Linked DNA regions of Lytechinus pictus. The protein of the gene in region 1 interacts with the protein of each later gene in a biochemical or structural test. Links are inferred from orthologs where the notes say so. Each region holds a gene or a part of one and is shown on either strand. Other genes may lie near its edges.

The links.
Region 2: the proteins of metal-response element-binding transcription factor 2-like (region 1) and histone-lysine N-methyltransferase EZH2-like form a complex in vitro, tested with the Drosophila melanogaster proteins (2 studies listed by BioGRID). The link is inferred for Lytechinus pictus from reciprocal best matches to the Drosophila melanogaster genes Pcl and E(z).

Annotation. Positions count from the first base shown.
Region 1 is NC_087259.1:16,248,416-16,252,378, reverse strand, and holds the start of metal-response element-binding transcription factor 2-like, read left to right. Parts: upstream 1-1,634; 5' UTR 1,635-1,897; coding exon 1,898-2,011; intron 2,012-3,963. UniProt on the Drosophila melanogaster protein: Polycomb group (PcG) protein.
Region 2 is NC_087245.1:20,681,103-20,684,702, reverse strand, and holds the start of histone-lysine N-methyltransferase EZH2-like, read right to left. Parts: upstream 2,142-3,600; 5' UTR 2,048-2,141; intron 1-2,047. UniProt on the Drosophila melanogaster protein: Polycomb group (PcG) protein. Catalytic subunit of the Esc/E(z) complex, which methylates 'Lys-9' and 'Lys-27' of histone H3, leading to transcriptional repression of the affected target gene.

The DNA of each region.
Region 1 (3,963 bases):
GTCAATCTCAAGCTTTGAAATGCGTTTAAAACATTATTTTCCGTCATTTCGACCTTCGGTTGCATATCGTATCATGCATTTAAAGGGATGGTCCGGGCTGAAACTATTTACATCTAAATGAATAGAGTAAAATTCACAGAGCAAAATGCTGAAAATTCCATCAAAATCGGAAAACAAATAACGAAGTTATTGAATTTTAAGTTTATCAATATATTGTGAAAACAGTTATAAGCACATCGTCATGAACATTCATTAGGTGGGCTGATGATGTCACATCTCCACTTTCCTTTTTCTTATGTTATTACATGAAATCATACATGATTCATTTTTTCATACATGTGTATAAATGATGTGTCTCCGTATGATGAAATAAGTTGCGGCAATAAATAACTAATGCACTCAATCAGTTGTCAATTCAATTGTTCAGTTCTTGGTAGAAAAATATTGAATAATTCTAATTTCCTATAATAAAATACAAAAGAACAAGTGGGGATATGACATCATCAGCCCACCTAATATTCATAAAGACATGCCTCGAACTGTTTCACCGGAATAATGCATATCTTTAAAATTCAATGACTTTTTTATCCGATTTTGATCAAATTTTCAGCATTTTGCTTTTTGAATTTTACTCTATTTTTTAGATATAAATATATCCAGCCTGGACCATCCCTTTAAACATACATCCCATCTCCCCCTTTCAGGAAAAAAATATTTATAGCTATATGGTGACTAAGTCCATGTGGCTAGCCACACTGACTGAATGAGGCTTAGTAATCAGCTTTTAACTCAACATTCTTATTTTTCCATCGTACATTATTGATCCCACTGCTGCCACCAGTTTGCGATATGAGGGGGCCTATTAAAGAGCTAGTGCAAATATCAGGTTCACCTGTGGGCCGGGTGATAATCTGCCTGTATATGGTGATGATGCCAGGGGTGATGCACTTCAAACATTTTGACCTCATGGTTTTTGTATTTGTTAAACATAATATGGCCTGATAAAATAATGTAAGATAATGATCAATAGAAACATTCAATAATCTCCACCAGGACATGATCCGGCCAACCTAAAGAGGAGAAGGAATTTGGAACTGAATACATATAATGACTTCGTTCAGTATACTCCCTAATAGTATATCCCTAAGTAAAACGGTAAAAACAATATCTTTTCAGATCAAGATCGATGGGTCGAGTCATCTGCCTCGGCTGCCCCATATATCATTTATTATGCCCTCCATTTCTGCCCCTTTATTTGAAACAAAATAAAGTTCGATCTGCGCTTCCACTTTTTGGGTAGACCTGAATATTCAGAGGAAGCCATGGATCGAAGCTGAGCTCCCTGAGCTTTACAAAACACTTTTTTTTTTGGGGGGGGGGGATAGAGGGAGAGAGTCAGCTAGGAATTGCCCGGGAATTGCTGATCTTCGGGATGCAAATCTAAAATCATTTCCCCATAAGTAGCCTAGCTACCGGGCCTAGCTACTATATAGGCCTATATGTTTGTCCGGATGTTTGTTAATTCTTTCTTTTATTTTCAAAGAAATGCTGGACCCCGGTGCTGGACCTTGGGCCCTGGACCATACTAGTTCGGTAGTTCCTCGAAAAGATGAAACAGTAGCCTACATAAAGATAGACCTGGATACTTGACTGCTGGAACAACGCTGTATATTTTCAGATGCGGTATAAAGACAAAGGTATAAAGAAAGAAAAAAAAAATAGAGAGGAATACCGGAAGTAGTAGTCACCTCGCATCATCATTCATCATGGGTTTTCGCGGGAAACTATACTCGTGCAATATTCACACACATTTTGTACACAAAATATAAATGGAGCAAACGGATTGCTACATGTAGCTAGGCATGCGACTCTTGCGATGAGTTGTCCAGTGGCATGAATGAGTCAGAATGTCGTCACATTTCAGCTGAGTAGGTCTAATTTGCCAAAAGTACATCCAAATCGATGTGGAACACTGCAGCTGAAGCATAACTCTGAAGTGAAGGAGCATTTCGTAAGTTTGGACTTCATTGACAAACCTTTTCTAAGTTTACGCCTGCGGGTAGTCCCACGTGTGTAAATTTGTGCTGTGACAAAATCAGTATAAATAATTAATACCAGTCAGAAATTCGAAAATTTTGGGATGGTTGAGGCATATAAAGAACTATCATTCACTTTAACGAGGATCTAATAAGTCAAAGGAAATGGTTGGCAGCCAAATGGTTAATGGTTTTCTTTTTTTGCCACATCATCATAATCATCAGTAGGCCTACCTCGAGTGAAGTTCGTGCAGGCTCCACTCCACTTCACTACCGCTACACTACGGCTACGCTCCACCAACCCGAACGTCGAGACCATGAACTCGATCGGATATTCCGAGTGACAAAAGGTGGGATTTTATGGGGAGAAAATACAAAATTCATGCAACATCACGATCTTTAAGTTTAAAAACAAGTAAAACTAATATTCTTACTTTACACAAAGTTTCACTTCTTTTCCATGCTTCTAAGTTCTATCAGTCTCAAAATTTATGATTTAGAGCCAACATGAAGTTCCTCACACGTAATAATTCGCTGCCGATTTCAGAACATCGCATGCGCGCGAGGGTCCGAGCTCGGACCAGACCCGGTACCTCCCGCATGCGATGTTTTGAAGTCGGCAGCGCATTAATATTTATACGTGTGAGGAACTTCATGTAGGGTGTCTGAAGCCACACTGAAAAGTGTCAGCATAAAACAGGCTGATTTAGGGGGAAATATGGCACATTTTTTTCAGGGAAGTTCAGGCTACTAGAAAAATGTGATCTGAATTGATTATTAACTTGTGTTTGGGATGTATGGAAAGAGAAAATTCAGGGGCTTCTTTTGACAGTAAGGACAAGTTTATATGATCATTTTGAATAAGGATTTAGAGATAAATTGCAAACCCTTATTTTTGTGTGTGTTGAGATTGCCATTTCTCCATGCGTTTTCTATGGGAAAATGAAATTTCTGTTTTGCACAATTTTTTTCACTTTGTCGCAATTTTTCATTGTGATCTGGTTTCCAAATCTTTATAAAAATCATACCATCAGATAGAGCATAAAAAATCCTATTGGACTCTTTATGGACAAGTTTTTGGCATTAGTAATGAATTTATAACAGCTCTCGGAAGCTAGAAATTTGGATTTGTGTGTGTCCATTTCTTAACTACACAGTCTATGGCAGAGAAATGCTGAAAATTGACCTAATTTCATTCTTCTTTTTTGCAGCCAATAATTGGAATTTTTTCAAAAAATTTACATTTCTGTCAGTCTGAAGGTCATTTCTCTTCAAATTCACAAAGAAAATGTGATATTTTCTTGAAATAAGAAAAATAATTTTTTTTCTCCAGACACCCTACTTCATGTTGGCTCTAAATCATCAATTTTGAGACTGATAGAAGCATGGAAAAGAAGTGAAACTTAGTGTAAAGTAAGAATATTAGTTGCACTTGTTTTTAAAGATCGTGATGTTGCATGAATTTTGTATTTTCTCCCCATAAAATCCCACCTTTTGTCACTTGGAATATCCGATCGAGTTCATGGTCTCGAAGTTCGGGTAGGTGAAGCGTAGTGTAGCGGTAGTGAAGTGGAGTGGAGCCTGCACGAACTTCGCTCGAGGTACATCATCAGTAGAGCCTAGAGGCGCACGGCCAATATGGGAGACTCTCTCTAATAGGGGAGACAATCTCCCACATTGGAGACAGTCTCCAATATTGGCCGTGCGCCTCTACTGATCATGTTGTGACGAAAACTTCACATTGATTGACATTGACTTTGTCATTGAATCTGACTTTCGATAGTTTCATGACTTGGAAGTTTGGGGCTAATGTCTAATGACGAACGTTAACTCAAGTTTTATTGCCTGGCTGCAGTTTCGCACCGGTAGCCACTCATACTACGAACGAGGTTATAATATAACCTCGTTCTCGGCTGTATGCCTTCCA
Region 2 (3,600 bases), on another chromosome or scaffold:
GAGAGTGGGCGATATTCATATCGAAGACACTACGAGGGAAAGACTAGGCACTTAAACTATTTTACATGCAAATCGATGCAAAGCGTTACGCAAAGTGTCCAGTCTTTTCATTGTACAGACTTTGGTATACCATTTGTTCAAATGAACAAAGGCTTGTACTGCTGGTTTCGTTCAAGGCTCATATAATTTTTCTATTTTTTCTTCAATTTGCTGTTGCTATAAATGACTTTCAAAGTAGTGCTATCATCAGCAATAATAATCTACAAGTACATGTACATTTTCGAAGGGATTTATTGCGTGCATGTGATACATGAACTTACCCTCTGATCTATTAAACTGCACACACGAGACCCAGGTTACTGCTCAAAAAATTTATTCCTAGGGTTACATCCAGGGGTAAAAACTAAAATCCACGATTTTGACTTTCAAAGATTCTTATGACCCTCACTAATTTTGGACTCCTTAACTTAAGATCGATGACCAAAAAAAAAATCTCAAAAGGGGGCAGTGATTTTCGCAGGAAATGTTGCCGCCGATCACTCTAGGCGACACCCCAATACTTACCCGTGTTAATAAACTGGGACTCCACTCACGCACATTTGGGCCGCCCTAGCTTGGAACTAAGCATCAATATCAATTTAAAATATATATCTACAAGTTATGTATAACCTATTTACTACTTTGATAATGTTTAATCGGTACTCACCAGTTCTTTTGATGTATTTTCTCAAGAATTCCCACGGATTTGTCCCAAATCTTGCGACAAACCACGTTGCGGTAGACAGCTGTACATTCTTTTTTATTTATAAATAGAGCGCCCCTTACAATAGTTGTTAAGAACGCGGCCAAATTGTTAGGTTTTTTGCACTGTGTCCAAGGCGTTTTTATTTTTTAATAAATATTTTGCTAAATAGCGATTTTTACGTCAAATATTAAATTCATATCACAAAATATTTTTAATTGTAGAAATATATATAATATCATGCAATTATTTATTCTATATATATTTTATAATAAAATTTATAATTGTTGCGGTCTTTAAAAAAGGATAGTCGATCGATCAGGTGATCAGTAGTCATCTTCTTCTTCTTCTTCTTCTTTCCTTGGTTAACTGGTTGCCAACCAAGGAAAGAAGAAGAAGAAGAAGAAGATGACTACTCGTATCACGTGATCTGAAAATCAGCTTCGTACCGCTTTGATCGCACTCGACGGGACCGGACTGACTGCCAAGAAAAGATCGAAAAAGGACCTAAATGTAAGTTTCCCTTTATTTTATAACATTTAAAGTATGAGTAGGATTATAGTTAATGGGTAATTTTTTAATAAATGCTAAACAAATGAGGACAAAGCTTGCATTTTTCGAGTAATAATCACTAATATCATAAAAATACTTGGGTGCAGGACTTCTAACCTGTTTTTAAAGCATTGTCGCCTATGAGGTCCATACATGTTAATGTTTGGACCTCACTGGTACTAGGAGTGGCCGCCGATATCGCACATGTTCAATCTATCGGGAAAAAAAATCTGCAATGGCTGCCGCATGGTTTCCCCACGGTGGGAAATTTGACACCCAGCACCCTTCCAAATATGGCACTTTCCCAAATATCGGGCATCTCGGCTGATTAATTTAAATTGGAAATGCGTGCCATTAATTATGTACTTACACGCGTGCGCTCGCTTTTTTTAACGAAGTCGCGCTGCAAACAGTCACTAATATAGTAAGCTCATCATTTTACTCTGCTTTTACTGCAACTCAAGTCTCTCAAGGTTTGAAATTCCAGACTCAGATGCAGGTGAATGAACTGATGAATTCAAGACAGCAGCTCTCTCTCTCTCTCTCTTGTGTTCTTCCTCCGCTAAGGTCGGAGCACACACAACACAAAAACATAGCAGTGGGACTGAAATATTAAAATCTGAATTGTGAATATGTAGCGCTTCTTATAATTATCAAGATTATTGCAGAGCAAATAATACAGAATCTATATAACCTGACCACGCAAGGTTCATGAGAACTCAATATCTAGACCTACATGTATCCTCTACTCACCAAACGTCAAGTATAGATTGAATTTCCACAAAAGAAAACTCAGAATCAGATCAACGCGGGATCTCGGATGCTGCTGCAAGCAATCAACAAGAGATGGCGCTAGAGCACAATGCAATGGACATGGAGGAGGTGGGCTTGGACTGTAGGCCTACTGTGCATGTCTGGAGGATGTATTTGCCCACCCAATGGTTCATTACATGCCAATCAAGCTTCCTCTTGCCAAGAAATCCAAAGCACTTATTGCTTGATTGTAGAATCCGTAATCGTCATCATATGGGTTAACTATTTGTATGAAGTCTGTAGGCACAATCTTCTGATTCCTGAATCATTTTTGTGGATTCGCTCAGATGTGGAGGAGGCCCACCCCCATTTTTGGGGTGTTCCTCCGGGTGTTCCTCCTCCACTCACAATATACTCCTTTTTGGCGGTGACACGCATCTTTTTTAATTTCTCCTTTTACGGTGCCGGAAATTGTGGCAGAGTGTACTTTTGGCCAAACTTCTGTTAAAAACTGGCTCTAATTAACTGCCTCCCATGCTGCTCCTCTTCATTTTTCTATGGTATTGTAGTGACTTGACTATATCTTTTTATATATCTACATCTATATATTCTTTCCTTGTATATATTTTCATTTATATTTCAACATTCTGTATATGTATATAAATTCTTTCTTTTATTTCCAATTTCATATATTCTCACTTGTTCACGCCATGTGTATGTACTACAATACTGTACATTCACAGAGCAAGCCAACTCATTTTCTGTCCAAATCTACTTGGCAAACACATTCTTATATTGAGAAACAACCTTTCTTTTGTTCCTAGACTTGGAGCAAACATCCTTTCATTGTTCCTTGTTTATTGCAATGAACTTGCAGGTATAACCAACATCACTACAGAGATGCTTGCATGTTTGCTTTTCTCACAGTCTGCTTCTCTCTTCTTTGTTCTTTTCAACTTTGTTTTGCCTCCCTTTTTGGCGCTTATTTCTTTGTCTCATCTTTTCTGATGTTGGTAAAAACAACTTGTTTTCTCTACCACATCATCACTCTACTCTCTGCCTTCGTCCTGTCCACTCATGCTGACCATCTCATCCAGCTGCTAGTGAGGATCGAATCAAATCTTGTGGAGGATCAACTTATACTTAATTATTTCTCTGCATTTTCCAATCTTATTCCTTACCGTCACTTCCACTCATTCGAAGTCTATATTCTCTGCATATTTAATGAGCTCATTACTTCGCGAGACATTTTGTGACATCTGTCCCTTTATCTACTGTATTTGAAATTGTGAAGTGTATATATTTCTATTCACGGATTTGTGCAATTTATCTGAGATTCTGAGCGGCTGGACCACATTCTATCTTCTGGCGAGCAAGAATTAAGGTAGGACCTAACTTTTATATTTATATTAGGAGATCGGCTTTGCCAATTTCCTAAAGTATGAATATCTGTACATTTATTACAGAATATCGCAGCATTGTCATGAATGAGTTCGAGGAGGTATAATCTCGGAGTATTGCTAGTTGCGGGGCCAGTTGGCACATCTTTCCCC